Linked DNA regions of Daphnia pulex. The protein of the gene in region 1 binds, or shares a complex with, the protein of each later gene. Links are inferred from orthologs where the notes say so. Each region holds a gene or a part of one and is shown on either strand. Other genes may lie near its edges. The genes, in order: serine/threonine-protein phosphatase 4 regulatory subunit 1-like and serine/threonine-protein phosphatase 4 catalytic subunit.

Region 1 (15,966 bases):
AATCGTAGCCCAGGGAAAGTGAAAATATGACTCAGTTTTTGTCAAAACAAAAATTCAAACAGCCGTCAGAAAAATTACGCAACTCAGTGAGGGGTGACGGCTGCGGTGCTGAGCTACTCAAAGTCCTTGAAAAATATAGCCACAAAATTACTAAGCGAAATACGTAGAAAGGCGATTACCCTTCAAAAAAACTAATATTATTTGACAAATTTTTTAAGCATGACCAAACATAAATTTGTATATTCAAAAATATGTTTTCGTTAATTTCAACTTTGGATCTTAAATTGTTATTGTAACCCGTGTAACGGATATCTTCCTGTCTTGCATAAATAGATGGACAAATCCGTTAATGCCAGCAGTGAACAGACGTCATCACTTTAACATTTGACCCGCTGAATAACGTTCTGCGTTCACATTTTCTCAAAACTATTCCACACATTGGTTGCGCGTGATAATCACGTGTCATGGTGAAGACACTCACGTACGCCATTCGAAGAAAAAAGGTCATCACTCTTTTTTGACTGATTAATGGATTGTTTACCACAGGTTTCTGTTTAGCTTAAATTTCTTTATTGACATAAGGGAAATGATTTCAACTGAATACAAATGAGCTGACATTTGGGCCACTCATATTTGAATTGAAATTGAAATTGGATTCCGTATTAGGTGACGAATTAAATGAAAAGATGTGTCAATTACGTAATCACATACGAGTGATTAAACCGAGCAGGCGGGGGTATTGGCCGGGGCGTTTTTGCAAGCGACGGCTGTCAGATTGGTCAGGCTATCAAATTGGTTGTTAAAGTCCCACACCTTTAATTGAAAGAATAATGAATTCATTTGATATCCAAATGAATTAAAAAGACAACAACTTTCTTTTCGTTATTACCTGGTTGTAAATTATCCAAGGAACAAAAAACAGAGTAGGTTCAAGGTTCAAAGTTTCCACTCCGTGATCGTGAACTAAATCCTGACCCTCGATGCTCATTTGGCAAGTATCAATAGGCGCGTAATCCAAGCCAGCCAATTCGGCGCACTATTCAACCAGACAATTTTCTAATTTTACCACACCCGTAAAAAAAACCACTGCGCATTTACGCGGCATCGTAAAATAACAAACGAACCAATTCTCCGTTCTTGGGTAGATCCATAAGGCAAGTCGTGAAATTTAAAGCCTGGCAAGATTTTAACTAAAATTAAGCAAATCTCTAAACGAAGTATTACATAAGTGAACGATACCTGAGTAATCGTTGGACTGTATTTGATGCCACAGGCATGGAGAATATTGCCAGTACACTCATCTTTCATAAGAAATGTTTGATGATAAAATTAATCCCAAAAGAACTTTGCAAATTGAAATAATAACTGTACCGGGTCCATGTTGACATTCGAAACTCCATCCGCCTTCCGCATTCGGTAGAAACTGCATGGAAAAATTTAAAATAACTTGGATAAGGATTAGGTGTGTGATTAAAAATAGAGCTCAAATTTTACCGTTGCTTTTCCGAATGGGATCAATCTTAAATCGGTAAAAGTGGAAAGCGTCGGCCAGTTGGGATTTAATTGATTCACGAGGAAATTGCGGCTGTCGGGACAAAGGGATTCGTAATAAACATCCAGGGTCATTCGTTCACCAGCTCTAGTCTTTTAATTTTAGAACAAATTAAAAATCATATAATAGATTACAAGTTGTTGCATAATAAACGATAATAAGTCTAGGATTAGATTAAGCACAAAGTATGACGATGCTATTTTATTTTATCAACAAGCGTGGCATGCTGCTGGTTTCATCAGGGATGGAAATGACTTAATCCAGCATGGATAAAGGCATGATAAAGCATGTCAAGGATAAAATAAAGAGCATAAAACAATCACGTGAAAGGTGCGTTGGCCAGAGTCGATTGTAAATGTAGGCTAACACACTATGCTGGTATCCCCCCCCCCCTGCTGAACATTTTTCTTTCGATATTGTCACACATCATCGCTGTTCAGAAATAATAGTATATACTATAATTCTGGCTTAACGCCATATAAGCTTCATCAAAAAACGTTCTCGCTTGCTTAACCACGTGTGGGTTATATAAGCGACGAAATAAAAAAAGTGACAGTATCATCAGAGCTATACGACGCCCCATTGTTGGAAAAAAATGAGTCACCTCCATCACTTTCCACATGGGAAAAGAAGTTGACAATTTGGGCACACATGTACATATAAGACCGCGTCTTTGATTAACTCTGTATTTATTCATAAACTCTATGACGCCAATAAAGACAGGTGAGAGCATATAAAGATTGACGCCTGCATTGCTGTATAAAGAGTGGACCACACACGGATAGTTTCTATTAAATAAAAAGAATTCTTTTTGTAATATTATTACCTGAGGGGCTCCACCAACCACGCAGATCAAGGCGAACCCACATAGAATAAGCGATCGCATTTTCGGTGTTAGTTTGATGTGAATTTTTCTTAAAGAATCAGGATCGAATCAAAGTAACTGTTTTTTCAGCTCACCCTGCAAGGATCTGTGTGTTTTTGTAGTGATGATTTACAGTCAGGATGTAACCTCTGTATGCCTATATATAACATTTGATAAGGTGGAATTATTTGCTATCGCGATAGAGCGAGATGTCGTGTGCTCCATTAGACCTGCCCATGAAGCATAATGATATCATAATTGATGCTGGTGAACTTTCGTCTAGGAGATAGAAATCGGACCATTCAACTTGTTACGTAATTCGAAAGAGAAAGGGAAGTCTATCGTGAACAATAACATTTTCCCCTTCGTTGAACCTGTTATAAGAGAAATTGGTTTAATTCCTACGAACTCACAAAAACTTGTTCACTTGCAAAATGTACACACAGTTTCATTAAATGTGTGTCATTTAAGTATAGTTGCAATTCGCATACTTGCATTCCTATAGCAACAAAATATTAGCCAATAACGTAAAATTATATAACAATCAAATGTTTGCGGTAGAAAGCGTTATCACGTAGTTAGTAACAAAACCAGTCAGACAGTCTCAATTAAAACAGAGGAGAGAATTCCCAATTAGGGAGCAATTAAAACGACAGGGGAACATGTTCACTTTCTGACGTTCTTTTATAATTTTGGTTGTTGCCCTTATACTCGCCACTTGGCAAAGCTATCAGTACATTTTTTTTCGGTCTTCAATTATCGTACAGCGGCGAGACCTGATCAGAATATTCAAATTTATTTTAACGTAACATAAATTATTCACATTTTTTTTTTCATCCACGAAATCTATTTAGAATAGTTGCTCATTTTCCGTTGCGATGTTAGCGGTGTAACACGACGCCAGACTATTCATCTTCATAATGGGTTCATCTTTCATTTGATCCTGCATCATTTGAACCCGATGAACCTAAGCAGTCAAAAATCAGGTCCATTATATAGTCATAAATGTTTCTTTAATTTTTGGCTCATTGTGAAAACCTATTTGCATAATAATAGTATAAAATATTTCATAAAAACTTGCACAATGAAGGTCACCGTGTCGAAAACAGACCACCTTTCAAAGCAAAATGAATACCAATATAAAAATAATTCGGAAATCGGTGCTTTCTTTTAAGAGTTAACTTTCAAGTGAGTCTTGTATTTATAATGTAGGGCCTATCGAAAACAAATGTATTACAAAATGTTACATTTTGATACATTACTTCAGTACCCAGCATTGAAGTTAACTAAAATTTGGACGGAATAACAATATTCGAATAAATGGAATGTCGATTTTTATGCTTCACAATCCCCAACGGGGATGGGTTTGCTCATCATCTAGACGGATCACCTAGAGAACATTGGAAAGGCAAGACGGAGCGTTAAATCCGTTATGATTGCAAGCAACAGATCTTAGATTGGAAAGACTACTCCATTGCTTGCCATCATCAAACACCTGTAAAATACCCCCAAAATTAATAATCAGTTGGAAATATTATTAAAGTTAATAGTAATTTTCACCTTATCATAAACAACCCACGGGACAAAAGTGAGAGTAGGTTGCAGAGTTAAAGTTTCCGTTCCATGCGCCACAGCCAATTCTTGGCCCTCGCTAGTCTTCGTGCAGGTGTCAATCGGTGTAAAGTCCAAACCGGCTAATTCGGCGCACTATATGAAATGGAAATATTTATAAAATTTCTTCAATTTTCATTCGGAGAATCCCGTACTAACCTGAGCTCCAGAAGTTGGTGCTCTCATCAGACACGATGCGTAGTTCAGCGCCTTATTATTGAAATAGAATTTAGTTTCCCAAGCTTTTATGAAACCCACATGTACATTTCGAAAGAGATACCTGAGTGTTGTCTTTACTGTATTTGATACCGCAGGCGTGCAGGATATTTCCAGTGCACTCAGCCGAACCGTGTTGACACTTGAAGGACCATCCACCCGATGAGTTTTGGGAAAACTACAAACAATTGTCAAGTTCATTGTATAAACAGGCAATTTCTGATTGCAACAAAGAAATAATAATAACGGGACATAGGACATACGCTTGCTTTGCCAAAAGGGATCAGCCTGAGGTTGACGAAAGAGGAGAGACTTTTCCATTGCGGCGCCAACTGATTGACCAAGAAGGCCCGGCTGTCGGGACACAAGGACTCGTAGTAGACGTCCAGATTCGTTCGTCCACTATTTCCGAGCTATTAAATCATCAAAACATTATGAAGGCACAGTCACGACTCACGAGTAAGAAATTAAAATCCAAACTGTCAACTAGATAAATTGAGCTATGCGAGGATGGAATGGCAGAGAAAATCATTTTTAAAGTTTCAGCTGTGTGACAAAACAAAAAGAATAAAACCCAACAAATATTTGAGGTTCAGCCGGAATGCGACGTGCGAGATTGATGAAATTCTTCGAGCAAAATAGTTGCCTACTATACAATTTCTATCACTTCCCTGAAATTCTGGCGTCAAGGTAGTTTTCAATACCTCCGCATGATTTCCAGCGGGGATGGCGCAGTCTATTGACCTTGGGTCCATGAGCCTTGCCTCTCCCCGGAGCTTTTTTTTCTTTTTTTAATTATTTCTTTCCTCTTATGTTTTTCTTAGGTGTTGTTTTGTTTTTACAATTTTAAGGTTAAACGAGAAAAAGGGGCGTGCCAACTTGCAAGGAAAATATTACACAATTTTTTTACAACACTTAAAATAACAAATCTTATAAATTAAGAAAAACAAGAAAATTATTAAACAATGTTTTACTTTAAATATATGAGCCAATTAAAATTAAAAATCTGAAATTAATTGACAATAATTAATTGTTATGCAAAATGATTACCCCAGCAGTGTTGACAAAGCTGACGCACAGCAAGGCAGAGGCTAACAAAAACTTGAACATTTTGGCAACTCACAAGGTGAAGTCTACAAGAAAGTTGAATTCAAGCACCGTCTGCAAGCACGTCCACTCTCTCCCGGAACTTGCTGAGCAATGTCTGCATATTCGAGCGAGCCGAACGACCAAGGCTATACATGTTATCCACTCCTCGATTCCTATTCTTTTCGCCTCTCACTGATCAAACAGGTGTGCTGAAGTGAGAGTCGAGCTGGACGCCAGCTGTGAATGTTTTCACGCGTGCATTGTAAACGAAACAACGGATCTTTTTTTTTTCAAATAATACAAAATTGTCCCAACAAAAAAGACTATTCTTCGTTGAAGTTGGCGCCAATAAACTGAAACTAGAACAAATCCATTACGATATTCTGGACAAAATCGAGGTCGCCAATTTACAGCTAAAATGTGCTGTGCTCTATTTCCTGGTTGAAACGCCCGTTGGTATCAGAATTTTCAAGGCGTGGCACTTGAGCGCCAAAAAAGTGCTACCCAATTGAACTAAAATACCAAAATGGCCATTCTGATCTTATTTCATTGAAGGCAGACTTACAGAATAAGGAACAACAAATCGTGTTACTTCCACCCCAGTGTAAAATAAGAATAATGTAACAAAATTGTATAGTACAGACACACTGCCATCAGTCAGAGTGATCGTCTTCATCATCGTTTGAATCGTTGAAAGGAAGATCGGGAAGCTGAATGTTGCTCAGCAAGTCACGCATGGCCGCCACCAATGTGGCAACGCTCTGTTGAAGATTGGCTCCCGCTCCTTCGGCAGCAATCTCTTCATTTTCTTGCAAATCGACATTGGCACGAGGAGGTCTGCAACAATTAAACATGTTGAAATAATTTTAAAAAATCAAATAAAATACAAGGCATACCTTCCAGGTTGTCGCTGAACGGCTTGTTGATTATTAACAACTTCCTGCGGATTAAAACCGGGTAAGAGTGACCGGAAGAACGAACTGATCAAACCTCCTTCCAACTGGCTGGCGGCTGTGGCATTATTGGTTCGAGTTGGTCGACTGTAGCTCGAGCTACAGTAATTTTATATAAATTTTATAAATTTATTTAATTTAATAATAATAATTTAATAATTAATAATTTCTATTTTTTACTATTACTTACACCGATTCTACAGGCGGTAGAGGATCAAAAGACATGACTGAACCAGCTGCCAGTTCCTGGATGTTTAAACAAGAAATAAATAAGAACGCTTCTTATTTAGAAAAGTATTTTGAGTTGAACCTGGGGTAGCGTGGCGGTAGCATCTTTGATATCTGACAGGAGAATATGTCGGTAGATATTTCTTGGCGTTCCTTGGTAGCGCGTTTTACGCTTTTCCTCGTATTCTAGGGCAATCGAAGGCTGGCGATCAACCTCATTTAAACAGCTGTTGGCGTTTCGTTCCAACTATAATTTTAGAGTTGGTTGTTAATACAAATTGATTTATGGCAACACATTGTTAAATACCCAAGGAAGGAGTTCAGCATCTTTCCAAAGGTGAAATGAGCGTCCGATGTACAGTTGAATTAAATTGTTCAACGACGGCGAATGACTACGCATGCAAGCAATTAATACTTGAACGCGAAATATTTTAAACTTGGTTACGTACCTGAAAGGTGTTTTGGGTGAAAAGTACTCGTGTCTGACTACTCTAACGTCAGCTTGAATGGAGCACTTATCTAACAAAGGAATTAATACTCCTGGGAACATTAGCAGGGCCTGTTTAAGGTATTCGTCTGCAAGTGGAAGGCTTTTGGGGTCAGTTTTTGAATGGTAGAAGTGGGCCAAAGCAATAGCGAAAGCCATATTAGGCAGTTGGGACAAATTTTTCTTGGATTCAAAGAATCCAAAAAATTCAATGAACCAAGAATATTCACTGGCTTGAAATAAAGACGTCAAATTAAACGAACGATTCTTTTTACATTAAAAAAAATTAAAAAAATGCGTAATACCTTTGATGGCGTAAAAGTCTATCATCAGAATAACTGCCAAGGGATCGGAATCCAAATCCAATGTATAAAGAAGTTTACAAAATTCCAAAGCAGTTCGGTAACATCCTCGCAAACCGATGGAAACCAAATGTTTGAATATGGCCAAAAATAATGCCCTTGAAGTAAACCAAATATGTGATTGAAGTGTAGGACAAAAGTCTGAAATAATTATACCTGTTTTCCTGTTGCTTATATTCGAGGCGACAATTTCCGGATGCCAAATTGAATGAAGGATGAAAAGCACTTTCAAGAATGTATAAGGCTCGCTCGATGAGTTCTCCTGCCATTTGCGGGTCTTCACTCATTCTGCAGATATCAGACAGCTGGATCAGCGAGTCTATATGGTATGGATACATATTCACAAGTGCAACAATATTTGTGGGATTCAATGAGCTGACAGCCTCCCAGAAATCGTACTGTATTTGACGATACTCTTTGTTGTGCTCATATTTGAAATAGAAACAACCATCCTTTGTTTGATCCAAACTCATTGAAAGTCCTAATATAAAACATGAATTCAACATCATATTAAAATTCATAAAAGATCTTTTAACTTCACAACACAAACCTGTTTTTCTTATTTGGGACCAATTGTCTTTGGAATTGATTAGCCATGTTGACTTTACATAAGCCCTCCCCCTGGCTTTCTTCTTTTGTGCTGAAACCACCACTCTGCTGCCAAAGATTTTCTTCAGCTCATTGTCAGAATTAAGATTTTTTTGTTCTAAACTGAGGACATTTTTAGCAGCAACTTGTTTGGAAACTGGCGTCTCATGGCCATTTGAAGGTGCAATATTAACTAGAAATTCATTGTCCAAATCATCAGCATCATCATCAAGCTGTGCACTTTGCTTCTTCTTCTTCTTGGTCTTTTTCTTAGGTTTGGTTCCTGTTTGAACTATGTGTGATGTGTCTTCTTCCGATTCATCAGGAGTGGGTGGTTCTTCGACACTTTCCTTGTCTGAGTCGTCACCTTCATGCAACTAGGAGAGTAAACAGGATGAATTTTGAATCACATTTACATGACACGATTATTTTATATACCAAATCAAACATATTGATGGCGGGTTTCTTCTTTCGATTTCCATTGACATTTCTTATGACAGGCGCATCATCAAGCTCCTCTTCTTCTAGTTGTAGGCTTGATGCCAATGTTGATAACTCATCCTTTTCTCCATGAATTTTGCGAAGCTGTCTATTTGACATGATCTGTATTTAATAAATTGCAAATCAGAAAAACAAGATATCGCTCCCGATATAGTAATCGTTTGGACAGTGTGTATTTTGGGTTGTGGGCCCACGTAATCGTCTGCATGAAACAAACCATCTAGCGGTCAAAAAAGCACTTAATTATTTTTGGAATTTTGGTAAAGTAGTTTTCGTGACTTTTCGATGCACTATTTGATTTTGGAATCAATTTAAAATGATTTTATGGTTGTGTGGTATTTATTGAAATGATTTTGATACACTTTTGGTCAATATTTCGTAATGGATGATTGCTACCCATAGTGTGCTGCCACCTGGCGCTTTTCACATTCGAAAAACGCTCAGTCAAACGCTTTCTGTCAAACGTGTAAAACCCTAGAAATTTGCCCATCGTGCTGAATGAAAATTCTTGTGTGCTTGATGTTTCGTTTTATCAAAAATGATTTCATCCGACCTTGGTGATAATGACTCAGTTATTGGTAACCGTTTGAACTGATTGGAAAAAGAAACGATTCTCCCACAAAACTTGGCTCAACTGAATTGTGCATTTATTTTATGTGCTTGGGAAAAAAGGGCATTGAGAGAAAAAAAAAGGAGGCAGCAAACGTAGTAAACGGCGCCTATCGGCAAAAGACTGAAGCTCGTTTCAGTCTGTACTGGTGCTCCCATCATGGCGGGTTAGTTGGCTGTTTCAGACTGTCAAATTTCATTTTTTTCCCTCATCTAGTTTGCTAGTTGTTAGTCATTCTCATGTTTAACCTAACTAGTACCATTGATATTGTCTGATTTGTAAGTAAAAGGCTGTACTTGTTGACTTTGCAATGGCTGCTCTCGTGGTACCATGTAGTCTAGGCGATTACGGACGTGTAGTAGAGTAGAGAGAGATTGTGTGTTGCTCAAAGTGTTTGGTTGGCGTGGTGTGTGCTGAAAGCGTGTTGATTTTGATCTTATTTATCATTGTCAGATGATCCACCTTCGTCCTCGCCACCGGAGGAAGATGAAGAAGAAGATGAAGACTCGAAATCATCGCAGCAACAAGGTAATAAACCCGAAATTCTTGTCGTTTTATTCCAGCCCGAAAAATTCCTCAGTCGGCGGTGGCATGTGGTTCGTCGATTTTCGCGTTACTGGCGCGACTTCTTTCTCTTGACAACAGTCAACAGCAGCAGCAGTTGAAGAGAAAAACGGCATGCCTGTTTTTTCACGGTTCAAGTGGCTTTTTTCCCTCTCATTTTTGTGTAAAAATCTTATCTTGAATGGAGTAGAGGGAGAAGAAAAAGAGGGTAACAGGAACCTTGTTAGTAGGGGGGGTTATTGGCGCCAAAAAAGAAAATGCCAGGCCTGGGCCGCATTGTGTTACACACAGCGCCATCATTTTCATTCTGGGAACAAACATTCCTCTCTCTCTCCCAAAAAGATTTTTCCTTTTTGTTTTTTTTTCTCCTTTTAAAAATTCTTGACGTCGTTAAAAAAAAAAGTCGTTGGAATGTTTTTCCGACCGATTTCTCTCTCCCCCCCAACACTTAACGTTATTTGGAAACTGTTGTGTGGTATTTTCTTATTTAAAAAAAACCAAGTAATGAAGTTTTCAGTCTTTTTTTAAAATGTATGCGGAATGTTGCCAAAATCTGCAACTTTTATTTTTTTGGCTAATAAAACTTAAAATTTTTCTTCAGATGATGAAGGCGATTCTTCTGAAGAGGAAAGGAGTTCCAGCGGTCGTGAATCGGTTTCAATCACGGAGATGGAAGCCTGTCTGGAGAACGGCAACGCTTTCAACAGGTCAGTTCAAGAAACATGTCCTATTATTCTGTACAAAAAGCTTAAGGCTAAGTCATCTAGAGATTCCACTTTTAACTAGTTTTCCGGCTCAAAAGAAATGAATAGCTTTTTCGAGATGGATTAAAAAATCTGTCACTTTAATGAATAATGGCACCTGCTCCGAGTAAAAACCCTCCTTTTTAGTAATCATTTAGTATAAGAAGCATATCTCTCACATTCCGATTGAAATCTGTTTGAACACGTCCATATTGGGTTTGTATGGCGTGATAGATTACACGACCGATAGCCCAACGAATTCTGGTAAATCTGATAGTGAAATCATGACTTTTAATTAATAACGGTCCGAAACACCTGCCGTTGAGCATCATCCACCTGGTATTATTATTAAATTCATGTTTTGACATTCAACGCTGTATGGACAACACTGGGACAAATGACCTAATGAAGGTGGTGGTGGAGGCCTGCTGTTGGTTGCGTGCGCAGTTACACGACGCCTTAATAGTGCGTTACTACTCGCTTTTTTACTCCAATGTTGACGGTGCAGCCTTTCCCTCGAGCTCTACTTCTCCCATAGAATAAAAACTGCGTCATTTGCTCGTGTACATTTTTTGGCGGGAAAGTCGATCGATGGAGATAATTCGATTTTTTAGTCCCTCCACTCGAGCATGTTGTGTGTTGTGCACCGTATCATTTTCTTTTATGGTTTCATTTTATTTTGGTGGTGGTCGTTGGTAGGCCAGTGGATATAGTTACATCGGCCAAAAAATTTTGAAATTATTTCGGCGCGCTCGAATTATGACGCACGCCCTTGGCCTCAATTTTTATATTTTTTGGTTGAGCCTCTCTACGTCGTCGTCGGTTGTTCAGGTCAATCCTTTTTATTTTCTCTCGCCAACAATTTCCACGAGATGGTGCGCCGATCGAAAGCAAGACCGGAAGTGAAACTTGGAAGAAGAAGAAGAATGTTGGCGCCAAAAAAGTGAAAAAGGAAAATTGAGAAGAGGAAAAACGGCCGATAGGGACGCCATTCAAAAATGTTTAGGGGGTGAAAAAAGCGCCCGAGGCATAGTGATGTAAGCGCCTCTCGGTGGCCGTTTGGTGAACGAATCCCCCCTCTCCACCACCACCCTCTTTTAAGGCGATGGAATGGCCGCTGTTTGTGCACCAATCGCCATGGGGCGATTTTTTTCTAGTCTGCAACGTGATTGGCCACCTCGTCTCCCACCCTATGTGGGCGGAGTCTGGTCTGAAAACGCACCCCTAGAAAACCTTAGATACGTACGCACACACGGGCAGAACACGTTCTCCTGCTCCCACCCCACACTCTCCACTCTTTTTCCGTCTTCGTTCACTCGCGTGTGTGTGTGTGTGTTGGCTCGGCGTGTTGTATTCAACCCCCCTGGCGGTCACTACGTCGTAGTACATTTCGGCTATCGTCGTCCGTGTGTGTGTGTATGTGTGTATGTGGTTGGAGACGTTTTGAACTGCAGACAAAAACAGCCGAAATTCTTGTGCCCGCGCGCACAGAGTCCTTTTTTTTCGTTTCTGACTATTCGTTCAACAACTTTTAACAGACTTGATTGGAGTGTGTTTGTTTCCTGTGACGCCATCGAAGAATTACTAGCCGAAAAAAGTGATGGACGCTATGGCAGGGAGACGCACATTGGGGGTGAAACAAAACTTTGGACGAGGGGGGAGTTCAAGACCGGAAGCGCGTCCCTCCCTCCCTCCCTCGTGTGTGTGTACGTGTGGTGAGGAGTAGCCATCTGCTCCTCTTTTTCTTTTTACACACACACACACACACGTTCAGCTGCCATGTTGGTTTCATTCGTCGTAGGCCTTTGGGGTACGTCGTCGTCCAAGTAGTCGGAGCACCACCCACCAGCCCTCCCGATGGCGCTACTTGATTGACTACTAACCCCCCTCCAGCCGACGCGTCTCCCGACCTTTTTAATGATGGTAAGAGTTGATGTTTTCTCTCTCTCCTTCCCCATGCTGGCGTTTGTTTTGACGATGAGTCAGGCCTCCTCCTCCCTTTAAATATATTTTCCGGTGGCGTCGTGTGTGTGACGTCATCCTGTGAATGGTATTGATTTATACCCTGCCTCCTCCTCGCAACAGCGACAAAATTTCCTTGGCCTTGCGCAATGGCGTCCTCACGTGATGAGACTCGCGTGTGTGTTGACATTGCCGACGCCGATCTAAATCGCACGTCAATGAGGAAACGTACTCGGAAAAAAGTTTCTTTCCCCCGTACAAGGCGTTGGGACGGAGAAATTCCTTTTCTCTCTCTACATGCCCGCCTCTTTGCCCACAGGGTTCATGTTTGACTGCATTCCTCAACCAACCCAACCAGCCAGCCTCCCTCTTTCTAGTTGGCTTGGCCGAGATACCACCGATTGATCCGTCCCCTCCATATAAAAATAAATAAATACTTGACCTAATCGTCTTTGGAAACCCCAGCAAAAATATTTTAAAAGTTCTCAGGTGTCGCTTCTTCCGGTTTCCGTTGTGTGTGTAACGCGAGTCGACAGGAACAAGTTTTTTCGGTGCGTCTTTTTGGAGAGAAAAAAGAAAATGGCGCGCGCGCCTCAAGGTGCAAGACCGGAAGTCGAGGATATTCCACGGGTTTCTCTTCTCTGGTTAAAAAGAAAAAGGGTCACATATATTTTTCAATCGGTTTTTTGGTTAAAATAAATAAAAAAAATTTCGTTGTGGCAGCAGCAGCCATCTTGAGGTCGCAAGAATGCTTATCTCCTCCGTCTTATATATATATTTTTATGTATGCGAGGAGAGAGAGGAAGCTGTTAGCCATGGGCGCATTCCTGTGAACCGAGGGGGGAGAGATGAGCCGAGCAGCTGGAAGGGCCAAATTCTCTTCCGTTGGGTTTGGTGGTGGTGGTAGGCTTACCCCTAAAGCTCTACTCTGCCATTGGCTTTGCCACTATTCTCTTACCCGTCGTCGTCTTTCTCCGATTTCAGCATCTTTTTCCCCGTTTCTCCTACAACCCTGACCATCACTACAAGAAAATCTTAGGCAATCTTGTTACCTGACGATAATGATAATTTACTTATCTCGGCGACACAAAATGGGGTCCAGGGCTTCCCACGGGTTTTCGGTTTCTTTCCAGTCATAAAACAAAATGGTCGCCCCCCTCCTCTTCAGTTTTTTGGGAAAAATCAAAAGGGAAATGGCGGACTGGCTACCACCACCTAAACGATGGAATTAATCAACTTGATTGAGAGTAATGACTGTAATTTCAGCATTTTTCGGATGGTTCGATCGGAAAGCATCAATTAAATAATTTCAATTCCCATTGACAGAATTTTCAAAAACATGGTTGTGTGTGTGTGTAGGGTGGGGAACGCGTCGCCGCCATTTTGTCGAGCCGTGAAAAACGCGTACAAAATGGCCGCCGACTCCATTTCCCAAGTTTATACGGCGTGCCGTTCTTCAGAAATTTGACGATTATTTTCAACTGTCGAGCGCTAAAATAATGAATTTCTTTTCAATATCGACGTTGTCATCTGGATGCGGGTTGTTGTTTTTTTTCTTCTTCTCCCGAAACCATCTGGCGATCCCGGGGAAAATGCTCTGGCTGGGGTTAAGGACGATCCATCACCTCTTCTTTCAGCAACAAACAACATGGTGGAAATTTGAAAAAGAGAATTGGGGTGAGAGAGGGGGAGAAAAAGAAAGAAGAGGATTCGTCGTCGAATGATGGGAGGGTGAGAGTGGGGCCCTTGGGGTAAATATAGAGAAGAGGGGGAACTCACCCTCCGCTTCTTCCCTATTTCGCCCCAAGGCTTCTGCGGAAAAATCAATACTTTGACCTCCTCCCCTCTCTACTACGTTCTCCCCCCCTGTCTGTTTGTGCAGCGGCCATAGGTAAAAACTTGAAAAAGTTGTTGGGTTCATCAACAAAAATATATATAATACTACTACTACTACCAAGGTAGTAGTAGTTTAAGCGCATAGGAGTTGATCCAATAGAAAACCGAGTAGGTAAACCTATTAGCTCAAATAACCATCCGTCGTTTTGGACTTTACCAATCGATATCAGTCGAAATAATTTGGTTGCACGTTCAATTGTTGTAGGAATAGTGTTCATTTGTTGAAAATAATTTCGAATCGAAAATGTTTGGCCTATTGGGTGAAATAGCCACCTGAAACGGTTTTGCGCGCCTTTTAATCCTCTGAAAATGCATAGGCCGCCACCTGGTGTGGGGTTTTGAAACCACTCGGTGCAACCCACCCCGATCGGCCAATAGAAATCGAGCCAAATTACAAATAGAACGGAGAAATAAAATGTCTTCTTCTTCTTAAAATAAAAAGAAGAAATCAGAGAAATGACTCAATAATAATTCCTTGTCTTGATTTCTATATTTATAACAACACAGGGAGCTGGTGGCGCGTGTGATTTTAGAAACGCTGCGTTCGATTCCCGTTCCCGATGTTCATCACGACCTACGCCGAGTGTTGGCCATCATCTCACGCCTGGGCGAAGATTCAGGTATGACTGTGGGGACGACGACGAAAATGTCTGTGTGTGTGTGTGTCGCCCAAAATAATCATCATTATCATAACAACAATGCGGGGTCGCGATTGGTTCTGGACGGAGACAAGAAGAGGCTCCCGCTGATGGATGGGTTCCAGAGTGTAGTTAGCATTTCTCTTCCGTCGTTTCAGGCGCGCACGCGTTTCGTGTCAAATCTCCTCCTCGGCCAGTTCTTTTTTCGAACGACCAAGTGACTGTGTGGTGGAGGGAGACTATTCTTATTTATAGAAAAAAACATCAGGCTAAAGGAGCGCGCGCTCTAGGAGAGATGGATTGGGTAACTGTGTGCTGCTGCTGCTGCTCGACTATTCCGGAATTGGATGCCCTTTGCCAAGATGTTTGGCGGGAGGAGGAGGAGCTTTGGTCCAGTTTGTGGGTTTCCTTCCTCATTGGTCCAATTCGTTTTTCTCTCTTTTTTTTCCGGGCAGCCACAAGAGTTGATTAGACTCTCCGGAATACAGGAGCAAGGAGCAGCAGCAACAGCAGTTGTCGCATCGAGAGAAGAAGACGGATGCGCTTCACTGATGCTAATTAAAAAATACCCGAGATTGGGAAGAAGAAGAAGAAGAGGGGGTGGGGTGAAATAACTTTGAGCTCTCCTACCTAAACCTTATAGATAGATAGTGGCATGCCACCACCACTAGTACACATTTCTTTTCTTGTGTGTGTGTGTGTGTGTGTGTGTCCCGGAATAAAATTAGTGGGCAAGGATCGTAGAGTGTTTTAGTATCGCTTCCGCGCTCAGTTGCGTCACACCTACACAAAAACTCTCGTCTCCTTCCTTCCTTCCACTCGGGAGCGCGGACGGCGGCTCCTTCCGCACTCGACAGTTCCGGTCTACCCCAAATGTCGATTCGAGGTTTGATGTGTTGTTGTTGTTGTTGTTGTTGTGTCATTTTTGGTCGGGTTGGAGGGGGGAGAAAATCGATTTATGCTCCAGTTGTAGTCGTAGTGCGTAAGGAGCCATGTGGCCGGGTTGAAACGACGTTGTAGTACAGCTGGCCGGCCCTCTTGCGGTCCAGACCAAGTCTCGAGGTATCTCCTGCAAGTTGCAGCAGCCGGGATTGTGTGTGT
Region 2 (15,881 bases), on another chromosome or scaffold:
GCCCTTTTTATTCACGCTCGCCACCTCGCGGGTATTTGCATTCGAATCAGGTTTTCCACACGCGATTAATGTCGGTAGCATTCCCTGAATTTTGAACGCTCGAAAACTTGTATCGTGTTCGCCTTTTTTTTTTTTTCATTTTTCGATCGCGTGAATGTCGTGATAATTGGATAGTATTTGAATGTCACACCTTTATCGCCCTATCTGTGGGGAGGGGCAAGGAAGCGTGAATAATAAGGAAAATACAGTTATTTACTGTTGATTACGTAAGTGCAGCACTGATGTACGTATTTGAATGCTATCTTGTTGGATCGACCCGTTATCCACCCAAACCTGTATTTTTAAAATGTTCTATCTATCCCAGGCTGGCTGGCTGGTCCAGCCGCCAAGGTATTCAAATAAATGTTATCTCGTTTGGCTCAATTCTTGATCCGAAATTAAAATTAAAAAAGAAAAAACCTGACAGGACGTAATTTTTCAACGATCTAGTTAGGCCTTTTTATTTAAATAACGATAGAAGAGCCCTGGGAAATCGATAACTACGTCTCATTATAATGATAATCCCACTACAACCAGATGTTCGGACCCTTAGTTCCTTTCTGAAGTGGCTGTTGATCACTCGACGAAGGTTTATTACCGTCACGAATTTTGTGTGTTTGTTTGTAGACGGAAACGAAAGTTGGGAGAGAGTTTGACGTTTTAATTTGGATTTTAAAGATGCTTATGGCGGCATTTACCTTTTGAAGGCCCATCTTCTCTGCAGAAGTCGACATCATTATCAGTTACCACACAGAAGTTTAAAAAAAAATCCCACTGTATTACGTTGTTAGGCTCCGGTACAACGCGATGTAATTCAATGACGAAGCAACATTTTTCACATATGTACGGAGATAAATTTAATCGCCCGCAATTATCTGTTTTTCATTTTTGTCTCCATGGAAACAATGTTATTAGACAGGAAAAGAAAAATTGTATTATTGATTCTTTGATTGCATTGTAATAACAACATTTCTTTTCGTGTTATAATTAATCGAATTACATTCGCGTTCGCAACCGCTGTGAAAAAGCGCAGCACAAAAATTTGAACGACGCAATAAACAATTTTGAATTATTTGGCAACGCCCACACATTTAAAAGCAGATTTGTTGACATTAGTAATTGCTGTGACAATTTTTCTTTTATTCAGGGCATTTTGTTTCGTCGTTCGAATTATACTGTAGAAAATGATTTCAGCTTGATTAAGAGACTACTCAGCAGTGGAAGAATTTTACCGACTTCCGCAAACGTGCCGACACCAATTCAAATGCAAAACAGTAACCCCAATTAGTTTTCTCCGTCACGTCTCCAATAACATGTCGGCATGACACGGCTTTGTTCAGTATGTAATGAACCTATCTAACACAACCATTATATCAATAGTTTGATTGGTTTTACATGTTACAATTTACAGGAATGGAGAAAATGAAGTATCAAAGTCCACATTTCTACAATGTTAGAATTCCAGAGTGCATATGTTTATCTCCCCAAGTTCTCCAAAGAGTTTGAATGATGTGATTTATTAGATTTTTCAGGTATGTGTATTTTTACTTTAAACTTTATTCTGTATGATACACATTTTTTCGCAATTTCAACACATGTTGCTAAGTATTATTGGCACACTTTCCCTATAGCTGGATTATGGCATTTTTAATTGCATGATTGTAAAAGAAAAATTAGGGTTGTGATAATGGCTATTTTGATGATGCGTTGTAGAACATAGTGCTTTCACATTTTACCCTATTAAATTCAAATATTCTCTTTGAGGTTTCACGCCCATCAATTTTCGCTCGATAACAATCATAATGATGTGGGGGAAAGGTAGACTCATCGCGGGAAAGTGTCTTAAAAGTGCAAAACGCGAACTGGTCGTGTGAAAACCATTTGTGGGGAATCGAAAATCCTTTCTCGTCTATTTGATTGATTGATTGAAAAGTCTTTGGACGCAAGTGCTTTCTTTCTAAAGATCACAAATGATGTTGACTGACGTGTCGAGGTTCCTCCCTACTTTTTTGCCAATCGAGCACATCCTTACTTTTCTAGCCTCAATAATTGATTGAATAATGATTGAATAATAGAATAATAATTGATTGAACCTGCACTCGAGTTAATGAAATGCTTTTCGATTTAGGCGACTCCAGTCCTCGCATAGCCGTGAGAACAAGACCTGGTCGCACTCGACAAGGAGGATGGCAATGAACAAGATGTCCAAGGAGGCCTGGGCCGCTAATCCAAGCCTCGGTTACGAGACTAATGACTTGGAAACAATTTTAGGTCCCGTTTTCACGCTTTTCCGATGCTTCGGTATCAATTTTCACGAACCGTCGGACACTAATTGCCGTTTTCTCCATCAAACGGCCCAGATTGGTTGGGTGGTGCTGACATTGGGGACGTGTGGATTTCGTTTACTGGTCTACTTCCCTTTCATTTTAACCAGGACGATTGCCGACGTGGAAAATAGCAAATCCACTATGCACTATTTGATCGAATTTCTCAATTACTGGATCTACATTTTGGCCGTATTTATTGGCTCCTGGTGCATGGCGAGGTAATTTACAGTTTCGTGCGTCATTAATTTTCTGTTTATAAATGTGTTCGTTTGGTTTCAAATCCAATACAGATGGTCGGCTGCTAAATTATGGCGTGCAATAGAAGATATGCTCTTGCACATTCCGTTGTCTCCCGAGGACACGGCTCGCTGCCGCAAGACTTCCGTCCAGTGCATCTTCGGCTGCCTCGTAGCAGTGAGTTTTGACACTTTTTTTTAACACTTTTGAAAATGTTTCTAATAATTTTATTGTTTTTATTTTTCCATTAAAGTTATCGCTGAACTTGATTTTATCCCTGTCGATTGAAATATCGCTTGCTTCTCCGGCCAACAGGATGGCGTTGGCGTTGCTTTCGGTCGTTTACTTTTACTCGTTTGGATCGTGCGCCCTTTTCATCAGTGCCGGCCGCATTATTTCGATTGCGTTTCAAACAGTTAGCAGTCAGCTGGAACTGAATTGCTGTCCTCCTTCAACCAATGCAGCTGTCGTCTGGAATTATCAACGCCAATTTGGCATCGCCTGCCGAGCTGCCGAGAAATTCTGCAGCACGTTTGGCTTCGTCCTCTTTGCCACCGTTTCCTACACGTTCATCGGCTTTGTCAACGCGTCCTACAACCTGCTGAAATCCTACCAGAATTTGCCGCAAGGATCGGATGGCGGTGAAGATCTTTACTTCGTCATCCCCAGAACGATTAAATTGACTTACATGATTGTTGAGCATCTCTTCCGGCTGTGGCTGATTTGTCACACGGCCGATCTGATCCGCTCCAAGGCCCTGTCGCTCGTTCCCGTCCTGCAGAGCATTCGCAACGACCTTTATTCCCGTCAGGGCTGCAACGACGAAAGTCAAGAGGTAAAATTTACATCGCACTCCATGAAAATTAACTAACAATAATGGACAAGTGCATTTTATTATGTAAAGGTGCACACCTTCCTACTGGAGGTGTCTGAAACTTCGCCCACGTTCGGAGTCCTTGGGATGTTTACCTTGACTAAACACATCATCATTTCGGTGAGTTATTGATTAGTTGATTGACTGGATGTCAATAGTTCCTGACATTTGCGTTCGTCGTCAGTTGATAGGAACCACATTAACCTATCTGGTGGTGTTGTGCCAATTCAGTACGGCGGATAATCCCGTTGCCATGACGCCCATCAGTAATGCCTCTCAGTCGTCCTAAATCAACAAAAACGGGAGTTTTTTTTTTTTTTATGTTTACGTAGTACCTTTTGTTTTAGGGGATTATAATTCACCTTGATGAAATCACGACCTTTAGTTATCGTCTGTTTTTCAGTTGTTACGTAACCGCAGTATTCATCGACGTATGTTTTTTTTTGCTGGGCTTTATTTCCCCCTCAGCCGTGAAGCAATTCTTGAATTAATTCAACTTTGATGAGAGATTAAAAATAAAAAACGAACAGTGGTCAACTTCGGTTGTCATAGATAAAGCATAATGGCGACATCTTAGATGGAACGTTCAGGAATAGAGTACAGGTGTGAGATCCGCCTAAACATGCGAGTCAAGAGTCACATTATCACGGCTGACGGAAAACAATGTATTAAACACCCACCTCCCCTCCACTATCGTGGTGTTGATCAATCCTTATCATTTATGGCTACTTCAATTGACCTGTCTCGCTGCAACTGAACAACACGCAGTACCGAGTGAATTGTTGCAAAGAGCGAAAGGAATTCTTTTCTTGTAACTTCTCAAGTTCCTTACTATTACTTACAAAATCTAAATCATAAAAGGCCCCAAAGTCACTGGTGAGGATGAAAATTGTTTTGGCGCTGGCTCTTTTGTCCTGCTGCGCAATTCCATCCGTCGTAGGAACCCGTTTCGTTTGCTACTTTCCTAACTGGACGTATTCCCGAGGAGGTATTTGAATTACATCATATTCTATTCATTGATTGGCATGATTGCTTTAAACGCTTTTCAGGTGACGGAAAGTTTGGAGTGGACAACATCGATCCATTTTTGTGTACCGATTTGGTGTATTCTTTCGCCGTCCTGGATGGAGCTACGTACCAAATAAAAATCGCTGATGAGTGGGGCGACATCGGCAATAATGGCTACGCCAGTTTCGTCGCACTCAAAACTCGCAACTCTCAACTGAAGACAACCATCGCTATTGGAGGCTGGAACGATTCTCACGACGGAACCAACAAGTACTCGAATATGGTGGCCAACCCGGCTAACCGAAAGATGTTTGTTGATTCGGTCGTGGCATTTCTTCAACTTTACAAATTTGATGGACTGGACCTCGATTGGGAATATCCGAGTGGTGAATCCGACAAAGCAGGATTTGCTGAATTACTGAAGGAACTTCGCGTTGCCTTGGGAACTAAATTGATATCTGTCGCTGTAGCGGCAAACTCGACCATAATCGACCTAGGTATAAGTTAAATTTAATTTCCAACAGATTGTTTCATTCAGACTGACACAACACAAATTTATGAATAGGCTACGATGTGGCAGTGATGGCCGAAAAAGCGGATTACATTAACGTAATGGCTTACGACATGCATGGGCCATGGGAGCCTCAAACAGATCACCACGCCCCACTTTACAGAAGATCCTGGGAAACGGTGGATAACAACATCGATTTCATCGTCAACCACTGGATAAGCAAAGGACTTCCTGCGAACAAGATTAACTTGGGAATTCCCCTATACGGCAAAAGTTGGATCCTTGGGGAAAGTGTCGAACCGGAATTTCTTGCTAAGACAAAAGGCGATGGACCAGCTGGTCCACTTACAGGAACACCTGGTTTTCTAGGATATCACGAAATCTGTAACAGCATCCACGCTGAAGGTTGGGAGACTGTTGATGATCCTGAGTACCTTAACGGCCCCTATGCCTTCTCTGCGAGTAACCCAAAGTCATGGGTGAGTTACGACGACACCAAAATGGCTGCCAAGAAGACTCAATACGTCATCGACAATCAACTGGGTGGAGCAATGGTTTGGGATATCAGTACCGACGATTTTCACAACAAATGCGGTGGTGGAGCCAATCCTCTGATGACAACTATTTCAGACAAAGTCATGAATGCCGGATCCCGCTTTATTTGCTATTTCCCAAACTGGGCCTACTATCGTCCAGGTATGTTTGCCTTCACTAGTGTGACGTTATTTTAATAATCTTATCAAATTATTTCTTTGTTAAAATAAGGCGATGGCAAATATGTAGTAGACGACATAAATGCCACACTCTGCACCGACATGGTCTACGCTTTTGCAATCCTGGATGGGAAAACTTACAAGATCAAAGAATTTGAACCTGAAATTGATTTAGGAGAAAATAAATTTTATTCAAAATTCGTCGATCTCAAGAAACAAAACTCGAAATTGAAGACAACCATCGCGATTGGGGGCTGGACAGATTCTCACGACGGAACCACCAAATATTCGGACATGGTGGCCAGCTCGACTAACCGAAGGACTTTTGTCGATTCAGTCTTGGCATTTCTTGACAAGTATAAATTTGATGGACTGGACATCGATTGGGAATATCCGAGTAGTGCGTCCGACAAAGTTGGGCTTGCTGAATTAATGAAGGAACTTCGAGCCGCATTTAATTTACAGACACCGAAATATTCACTCACTATCGCTGTGGGAGTCAATAAAACCATTAGCGACCTCGGTCAGTATTAATCAATAGTGTATATGAAATAAAAAGGTTTTTTTAATACATTTTTTCAACGTTAGGATACGACATACCTGTGTTGGCCACGACAGCTGATTACATCAACATTATGGCTTATGATATGCACGGGCCATGGGAACCTTTAACTGACCATCACGCCCCGCTCTATAAAAGAGATTGGGATACAGATGAAACCAACAATATCGATGCTGTCGTCCAGTACTGGAAAGATAGCGGTATGCCGTCCTCAAAACTCATGCTGGGAATTCCCCTATACGGAAAGTCCTGGACACTCGATTATACTTACACGGAGGATCCCACGCTTCCGGCACCCGGTTTGGGACCTGGAGCTGCAGGACCTTTAACCGGTGAATCGGGAACGTTAGGATACAACGAAATCTGTAATTATGTGAAAAACGAAAATTGGGAGGTGGTGGTCGATCCGACATTCCAAATCGGTCCATACGCTTCCACTCCGAGCGTGCCAAAGACTTGGGTTGGTTACGACGATCCCGTCATGGCCAATGTCAAAAGTCGCTACGTTCTGGAGAGGGGACTAGGCGGAGCCATGGTTTGGGACATGAGTACCGACGACTTTAGGAACACTTGTGGTGATGGACCCAATCCTATTATGACCAACATTTCACGAACTGTTGGGGTGACGACATCGACTACGACGACTTCACCGGCGGCGACCACCAAGACTACTACAGCCAGCACCTCGACGACTACGGGTGAGACAACGACAACAACGCCAACAACACCCCGTCCATCCACTACCAAACTGTCCACTTGGCCAAGAGTCACGACGGAGTCGACACAGGCTACGAGTTCGAAAACGCCATTCATACCAAACAATGGGCACCGAATTGCTGGCAATAGTCAGCAACTTACATTTTTGGCTTTCGGGTTTATTTTAATTAATTTAGTTATCTAGGACGTTAGAATTCAAATTTAACAATTTTTAATCATTTCTAATATTTTAAATCTTATTACTATATATTCAAAATCTGATTGATTCGGCCCGCAATACACACGAGTGATAATTAAATGTTGTTAATTGATATACTCATTGAGTAAGCCAAGAGAACTCTTATTTTTTTGTTGCAAAATTGCGTTAAAAATGAATTAGAAATTTGACAACTCCAATGTCGATTGAGCGAGTGCCGAGTGGCATTGTCAAGTGTCGAAACAGGAAGTGTTTAAATAAGTAATGGGTTAACGGCTACATTGTAAAGACCAGATTTCCAAGGCTTGAATCAAGGTTGGTTGTATTATGAAAGTCTTTATTGCAAACAAGTAAACGACCGTCAGAAGATCTGTGTTTTGACTGAATCAGAAATGAGAAATCAGCCTGAACATGCCCGTCTCAAGCAATCGATTTTTTTTAATCCAAAGGAATTCTGAGAAATAAAATATCAATTGAATGTCAGCGTTAGTTAAGGTCCCGTTTGAATAAACGAAACCCATCGTGACCATGTTTTGGTAGCAAACATCGGGCTGAAGGCCGACTGACGTCAGAGAATATTTCAAAATTGATAAATAATGTATCGAAATATTTTTTTTACTAGCGTGCTAGCGATGTTATCTTTATTTGTAAATTTTTTTTCTTACTAATAATATTACCAGATATTTGTAAATCATTTTCAGAACAATATCGATATTTCAACAAAAAGGAATAAAAAGCGCGCTTGAAATTAAAACTGCGGAGAAACTTGGCAACGCCGAATAATTTAATGGCGTTTAGATTGAAGCCCAGTTTTTTTGTCCGGCAACGTAAGGCAAGCCAAGGAAGTAAGGATAGCTTTGAAGAACGACGAGGACGGATTCAATTCGTGGCTTAACTCTCGATCGTCAACTTATCCAGTCACGAATTCATTCTTCGCCATCACCACTCATATTTCATTAATAACGCAAAGAGGTAAAGCTTTTATCTTATTCTCGTTCTGTGTAATGTCAGTTTCCTCATTTACCAAGTCAATGTGTATGACATCACCGGTCGGCTGTTGCACATACTCAAGGTCGTTATTCTTTATTTCCCTCTCGTCAACTAGGAAACAGACAACGTAAATATGTCAGACTTTAGTGATTTGGATCGACAGATCGAACAACTCAGACGGTGTGATATCATTAAAGAATCAGAAGTCAAAGCCTTGTGTGCCAAAGCACGGGAGATTCTGGTTGAAGAAAGCAATGTTCAGCGTGTTGACTCTCCTGTCACAGTAGGTTTCTCATAAGCTTTTGATTATTGCTCAATAACTAACATTTTTTGCTTGCTTTAGGTTTGTGGTGATATCCATGGCCAGTTTTATGATTTAAAAGAACTTTTTAAAGTGGGTGGGGATGTTCCAGACACAAATTATCTATTCATGGGAGATTTTGTTGATCGAGGATTTTACAGTGTAGAGACCTTTCTTCTCCTATTAGCTTTAAAGGTAGTATACATTTTTGTTAAGCATTTCTTTCTCTTGTTTCTGATTTGAGATTTCTTTCTTAGGTTCGTTATCCAGATCGCATCACTTTGATTAGAGGGAACCATGAATCACGTCAAATTACCCAGGTTTATGGTTTCTATGACGAATGTTTTAGAAAGTATGGTTCAGTCACTGTGTGGCGCTATTGTACTGAAATTTTCGACTACCTGAGTCTTTCAGCCATCATTGACGGCAAAGTATGCTTCCAGTAGTAACATGCATTGATAAAAACTCTAACATGACATGTTTTTCAAATTTTAGATATTCTGTGTGCATGGTGGGCTATCTCCTTCAATTCAGACACTGGATCAAATCCGAATAATTGACAGAAAGCAGGAAGTTCCTCACGATGGACCTATGTGTGATCTCCTTTGGTCTGATCCTGAAGGTAGGAAAATAAATATTGGCTATACTTCTGAAAGTGGTAATTCATTTCTGGGTGTTTGCTTTTGACAGATACACAGCAAGGATGGGGAGTGAGTCCACGCGGTGCCGGTTATCTTTTTGGCTCCGATGTTGTGCAACATTTCAACACCTCAAATGACATCGAAATGATTTGCAGAGCACACCAGCTTGTCATGGAAGGCTACAAATGGCATTTTAACGAAACGGTGCTGACGGTGTGGTCTGCCCCCAACTACTGCTATAGGTTTGTCTTAATTTCCCGCCAGATTTCACCAAGATGATTACTTAAACTTTTAATATTGCAATAGGTGTGGAAATGTAGCTGCCATTTTGGAATTGGACGAAAATCTCCATCGAGAATTCACGATTTTTGAAGCTGCCCCTCAAGAGACTCGTGGCATTCCTTCCAAAAAACCTCAAGCCGATTATTTCCTATAAGAAACGCGAAATGTTGATCGTTGATATATCCCCTGCGATTTTTTACAAAAATAATTATTCGGTAATGCATAAAACAAAAAACACAAAAAAAAAACAGTAACTGATGTGAGATACCCCATCAGTTGAAACAGAGCAAAAGAGCCTGTATCATGTTGGTTGACCATTTACCTTGACCGCCCGGACTAACAAATAGGTTTTTGAAAATTCTGTTCTGTCCAATCCCTTCCTTTTTTTTGGTAAACACAGTCTTGTCCTTTATAATAAAAATATATCTTGATCGTCCAAACAAGTGTTCAGTTTCCCTTTTCAACTTTTTGCTGCAGGATATCACATCTGACTATAAGCTACTCCCACTACTCAGTTTAATGAACAATATCTTTGTGTACGTGCGGTTATGGTATGTTGGGGGCGAATTGTGTGACGTGTGTAATTATTTTTTAACATCAGTGCTAAATATTGATGCAATGGCCATGCTTCCAAAATCTTTTTTTTTTTGTTTGTGTTGCACCCATTTATATTATTATGAATGTGATGCTTGCGATGGCTCTCAACATGCACTGTATACAATTTCTTGAAATAACGATGGACTTGAGACGAAAACATGTTTAGTGTACCTGCATTAGTTTCGAAAACAAGGCTCGATGTTTACTTTCTCAACATTGAGTCATAACGGCTATTCATTTTTACGATCGTTTTTATTATCACCGCTGTCCCGAAACAACATTGCGTGATGAATCAGCTGATAAGGTAATATCGTTGTGACATTCGACTACCGTGTGCGGTTTTGTGATAAGGTTACGTACTATCACAAGGTAATCCACGTTTAATCAACTTTCCCTTTTGTTAATTAATGGTACTATTTGACAACAATCGATTGTTGGATTCGGTTAGAGATTGAAATGGCAGCGAGTTGGCATGACTGAGCAGAAAACGCTCGTCCATAAAAGAAACTTTTGGCGATGCAATTCGAGACGCTATTTTTAGATGACTTTGATTTATTTTCCGCATTGAAATGGCATGTATGTACCGGATGGGTGTTATCTTTTGCCGATCAACGCACTCGGATGACCTAAATTTTTGTTTTAGTTATTTATTGCTCGGATTTTTATTTTTTAAAAAAGAAAACTGCAAGCAAAACATCCCAAACATAGTATCGATGCATTTCACAAATAGAAGTGGTGACCAGCAATTTTTGTTTTTTTAAAAAGATTGCCCATTTTTAGGTTTGTAAAATTGTTGACACAAGTTAAACAGATCCATTTTGCTGAAGTCAACATTAACAACCGACTATATAAACGGCGAGTTTTAAATCATTAAAGGCATCCGAGTAAAATCTTGACTGATTTGCGTCGAACAATTTTCCAATCTCCCGAAAATGACACGGTTGATTTTGGCTCTCTGTGCTCTTCTCTCTCTGGCCGTCGGACAGAGTCCATACAACGATCGATTCTCGGTAAAATTCTTTTTCTTTCTTCAACTATTTCAAAAGATTTAATTGTTAATTATTGTGTTTTAAAAGGGTGGAATAGGTTCCGGATCGTTGTATCGTGGAGGAGGAATGAGCGGCAGCGGAGGTCCGTTTGTAACGACAACTACCGTGACGACAGTTCTAGACTTGAGCACCGGAATGACGAAAACTTTCCACTCGTCCAGCAATCCGAGCAGCGGCGGAAGCAGCGGCGAGAGGTCTTCTTACCCTTACAGTGGCGGCTACGGAGGAGGTGAAAAGAATAAATTTCCGGAAGGAAGCAGCGGAACTAGCCCATTAATGAATATCCTGAGCGAAAACGATATCAGCGTCCTTGTGAATAGCTGGCATATTCTCAAGAAGCGCAGCGATTTCGCCCCCAAAGTGTTCATGAGGTATTTTTTGTTTTAATTATTATTTTAAATCAATTACGTAAATCAATCTTAACCAATTCAATTGCGCAGATATTTCAAAGCCAAACCCGAAGCTCAGAAGCTCTTCTCGGAATTCGCCAACGTGTCCATTACGGATTTGCCAAATAATCACGATTTCCTGAACGCTGCTTATTCTTGTGTGTCCAGTCTGGAATTCATCCTTCCTCATCTCAGATTCCAGCATCCGGAGCGATGCCCCGCCCTAACCGATCTCAAGAATAAATACAGCGTCGTTGATCTCAAGGTAAGGGTTTTAATTTACAAAATTGAACAAGAATTACGGTTTATTTTCTGACGCACATCTTTATTGTTTTTAAAAACAGAGGTTCGTACCCATCTGGATGGCGGCCATGCAAGAAGAGATGGGCAACGCTTACTCCAACGAAGTCCGCGATGTCTGGAAGAAGGCCTTGTCCGCTTTTACCGATTACGCTTCAACCCCATAAGCGAATTTATATTTGTTAAACGATTAATTGTATTTCATTTCGGGGTGTTATTTAGGGGGCGCTTTTTCACAGCTACTGTACAAGCTGTTTTATCTATTTTATTTGTAATATTATAACCAAGCTTTTAGTCAATACAATATTCCACGCAAAATAGCTACGCATTTATTTTTACATTGAATTGATTTTCACGACTTGCGGATGTGAAAAACAGCTGGTTGGATTTCAAGGCCTTTGTCTTTCAATCCAGACACGTGCGAGACTAGTCGTGTCAAGGCTGGTCGCTCTTTAATTTGAAGGTTAGCTTGAACAGTTGTGTGCTTTTCCCAGCCATTGTCTAACGTCTATTGCTGTCAAAAATCTCGTGATTGCGGTTTGTGTTTAATCATTTGACATTGAGTCTCACCACAGTTCGTGATTTTGTTTTTGTCAGTGTCTCTTCAGCCATTTCTCAGGTTACGTAAAATTTCGTGATATTGTAATTTGATCAAGTTTATTGGTAACGGGTTAGTTTTCGGAATATTGCATCTTTTGATTAGTTGTGAAGCATGCCAATAATTGAGTGTAGAGGATTGTGTGACAGCTAGGAATGCAAACATTCTCAGATTCAAATTATTGATAAAACAATTTGAGCAGGACAATTTCCATTCTAGCAATAACCTTTCTCTTTAACTGTAGAGTGGCTATTATTATTTATGGAAGGGCTTATAAAACTTCTGCTGGTTGTAAATTTGTAATTACGCAGAAAAGTTTCTGACGATATGTGAGAATTGAATTAGATTTCTTTGCCAATACGAGATTATTAGTTTTGATTTACTTTTTTATTGATGTCATAATATTTTCTATTTCCACTATATTAGCAATATTGTCGAATTAAATCCTTTTTTAACCACATTAATTGTCATTTTATTTAGAGGCGTATTCGATGACGGCCATGACGGCTTTCTTCCAGACATCACGCACGTCGTTGGTGAAGGCGTTGCCCATCTCCTCTTGCATAGCTGTCATCCAGATGGATCCCAGTTTCTTAAGTAAACAAATTATTGCCAAATAAGTTTCGATTTTAAATTTTTTTAATTTTGATCGTCACCATTACCTTGAGGTCGACGGCGTTGTACTTGTCCTTCAAGTGTTTGGGGAAGGCAGGGCATCTTTCAGGGTGATCGAACTTCAAATAAGGAATGAGGTAATTGAGACTCGTGATGCAGGTATAGGCCGAATTCAGGAATTCGTGATTGGTGGGTAGCTCCGTAATGGGAACATTGGCGAAGGCTGGAAACAGTTTCTGCGACTCTGGTTTCGCTTTGAAATATCTGCAACGAGTAAAATTTCATTCAAAATTATTTTTGGAATTATATAACGTAAAATAATTTTACCTAATAAAAACTTTGGGGGCGAAGTCACCACGTCTCTTCAGAGTGTTCCAAGTGTTGACGATGACATCGACGTCCTTTTGACTAAAGCTTCCGTATTTCTTATCGCCGTAGTAGTAGCTCCTTTCACTGGTGGAAGAGGGTGAACGCATAGACCTGGACATTCCAGCGGGATTGAAGTCGAGGATCGTTGTCACGGTAGTAGTCGTTACGAATGGGCCACTGCCTCTCATCGTTGAATCGCCGTGTCGGGATTCCATTCCGCCCTTTTTTTTAAATAAAAAGAACGAGCGTTGATTGCACAAATTCAATTAATAAAATTTGAAAACTGAAAACTTACCGCAATTCCTTCGTTGAAAGGACTCTGTCCGGCTGACAGAGATAGAATAGAGCAGAAAACTAGAATTAACCAACTCATTTTTTAAATTAGTGTCTAGGAGATATTTGGAAACTGTACTATGCAAATCAACCGTTAGGTAGCCAATTATCTACTCGATGTCCTGATGGAGTTAGTCGCTCGTTTTATACAGTCACTCGGCTTGTAACATCAGCAAAAGGATGGACGTGTGCTCTCCCTTAGTCGACATTTTCCGAAATCTAAAAATGTAACATCTTCATAAATAATTCGTGACTAGAATCTATTTAGGGAATTTAAAATATGGTGTCATCATTTCAAAGGCGGGCCAATTGAAATTGAGGCCAAAATTTTATGTTTTGAAATCAATACGCGTGTTTTTGAAAACCAAGCAGAAATGTTTTAAAAGTAATTTCACTAAAAAAGTCAAATCACGCGGAATTTGGTATCGCTTTAGAGCGCATCCGGTATTTCACGTTGCACAAATTTACTGCGCATATTATCGGCAGTTATGCAACATAATTTATTTTAAATCGAAATTATTAAGTGTATCGTAATCAGTTGGTTTTCCACATAAATTTTTATTAATTCATGGAAACAGGTCATGTTTTCTTAATAATTATCACCATGACTCTGATATCTTCTTAACTTTTTCTTCAAATAAATTTGTTATTAAAAACAGTAAAGAGAAACCCTCGCCTTTATATTTTCCTCTTTTGTATAATTGCGCATTCATCGTCTTGGTTACACAATGGTCTTCATCAAGAAGATGATAAAAGACCCGGTACATTTGAAAAGCATATTCGCAGTTTCCATTTTGTTTTAAAAATGATTGCTATAATCAACAGAAAGTAACATGGATTCCAACAACCGCGAATGATTTATCTCTAGTATCCTATTACCCGCATAGAAACGCGGCAGGTGCCAAGCAAAAAGAAGATTCGGACAAAAACAAATCCTCGTTGAGCTGACCTGGTTATAAATCGTCCGTTGTACCGATTGTCCGCGGTTTCTGCGTTGTTTATACGTTTTCTGGCTATTTACGGTTCTATTTCCAAAAAGGAATGACGGAGACAAATAGCAGGTAAAAGGGTAGAACAAACAAAACAATTTATCGACTCACGCAATATTCCATCGCCGTACTTTGTGAACTCGAGACTCGCATACGTGATTTCGGTTTCGCCTTAATGCCTCATTATTTATTCTGGCATGTTATTTTTTGTACTGTCATTTTACGTAGTTACGAGAGAGAATATTGAAATATTCAATTTTGTGGTGATTTAACTCGTTATTGCAACCTTGCGTACGTTCCCGCCATTTGAAAACGAATTAATCGTCTGTCCCAAGCAGACACGTGTAAAATGTTCAGCTGTGTATTCGACGATGTTCGACAATAAACGACAAGCAATCTTTGTCATGTCTTTGTGACAAAGCTGACAAAGCAAATTCAACAAGAAAATTTAAAAAAAGCTCTGTATGTATAGGTTTAGTTAATTTACCTAGTTTCACCAATTAGTCTAACAACGGTGTTTTGGAATTCTATAGGCAAAATGCAGATGCTACTTTACTGTCGAATTTGGGAAGAAGAATCATGGCGTATGGAGGATTGGGACGAGATGTTGGATTCTGTAGCAGCACTAACAAAACGTGACAAGTCTAACAACTATCTCAGGTATGTAATCTTCAAAATATGTGTTTAATGTAGCATGGTTTCGTACCAAAGATTTTGGAAAGTTGTTTCTTGTGTGCAGTTGAGTGACACAGAGATTCAATTGATGTCTGTTGTCTTATTAGCAGCCTTGCACTTTTTATCACCTATTTAATAAGATGTAAGCCAATAATAGTAAAGCAACAAACCAAATACTGCAACATGTAGCTAGACGTCAGGTTTTTTGTGGATTTTTCCAACTAATTTTTTTTTCCCTGAGGCTGCCAAGTGCTGCCATACCTTTTGATTTGCAACATTCTTTGTCGATATGTGGACATATAGGAACCCTTAATTGTTGCAGCTAGAATTTCCAACCGTTGTGAAATAAGGGCAGATTTCAATGTTTCCAAATTCCTTGATTTCCTTACAAGGAATTGAGTAGCACTAGGCTAACTACCTTGACTGTCACACCATCCGTTATTATTGAAAGGTCAATTTGACTTCTCGTTTTCTTGATCGCAAGTGGGTCGCTCAACTTGCAAATAACTCTTAAATGTCAACGTAAATAACGGAACCAAACTATTTTCTCGAATGACAGCATTTTGAAA

What was found.
Region 2: serine/threonine-protein phosphatase 4 regulatory subunit 1-like (region 1) and serine/threonine-protein phosphatase 4 catalytic subunit share a complex: the UniProt entries of both Homo sapiens proteins name them as parts of the PP4 complex. The link is inferred for Daphnia pulex from reciprocal best matches to the Homo sapiens genes PPP4R1 and PPP4C.

Annotation. Positions count from the first base shown.
Region 1 is NC_060022.1:851,736-867,701, forward strand, and holds the start of serine/threonine-protein phosphatase 4 regulatory subunit 1-like, read left to right. Parts: upstream 1-8,882; 5' UTR 8,883-9,221; coding exon 9,222-9,228; intron 9,229-9,515; coding exon 9,516-9,590; intron 9,591-10,227; coding exon 10,228-10,333; intron 10,334-11,459; exon of another isoform or gene 11,460-12,292; intron 12,293-14,734; coding exon 14,735-14,847; intron 14,848-15,966. Other genes in the region: GILT-like protein 1, read right to left, coding at 718-813, 890-1,036, 1,125-1,175, 1,240-1,301, 1,372-1,423, 1,495-1,644, 2,379-2,438; transcription factor 25-like, read right to left, coding at 3,808-3,912, 3,978-4,124, 6,092-6,170, 6,230-6,385, 6,477-6,532, 6,597-6,761, 6,822-6,906, 6,964-7,234 and 4 more. UniProt on the Homo sapiens protein: Regulatory subunit of serine/threonine-protein phosphatase 4. May play a role in regulation of cell division in renal glomeruli. The PPP4C-PPP4R1 PP4 complex may play a role in dephosphorylation and regulation of HDAC3.
Region 2 is NC_060025.1:1,442,100-1,457,980, reverse strand, and holds serine/threonine-protein phosphatase 4 catalytic subunit, read left to right. Parts: upstream 1-7,408; 5' UTR 7,409-7,499; intron 7,500-7,885; 5' UTR 7,886-8,156; intron 8,157-8,289; 5' UTR 8,290-8,307; coding exon 8,308-8,457; intron 8,458-8,517; coding exon 8,518-8,670; intron 8,671-8,732; coding exon 8,733-8,906; intron 8,907-8,970; coding exon 8,971-9,097; intron 9,098-9,165; coding exon 9,166-9,358; intron 9,359-9,422; coding exon 9,423-9,552; 3' UTR 9,553-10,152; downstream 10,153-15,881. Other genes in the region: uncharacterized protein LOC124202225, read left to right, coding at 2,168-2,584, 2,657-2,780, 2,857-3,438, 3,508-3,597, 3,662-3,766; probable chitinase 10, read left to right, coding at 4,360-4,465, 4,527-4,982, 5,051-5,692, 5,762-6,232, 6,298-7,172; uncharacterized protein LOC124202229, read left to right, coding at 10,928-11,005, 11,072-11,415, 11,485-11,698, 11,778-11,900; globin D, coelomic-like, read right to left, coding at 12,804-12,923, 12,994-13,210, 13,274-13,536, 13,611-13,688. UniProt on the Homo sapiens protein: Protein phosphatase that is involved in many processes such as microtubule organization at centrosomes, maturation of spliceosomal snRNPs, apoptosis, DNA repair, tumor necrosis factor (TNF)-alpha signaling, activation of c-Jun N-terminal kinase MAPK8, regulation of histone acetylation, DNA damage checkpoint signaling, NF-kappa-B activation and cell migration.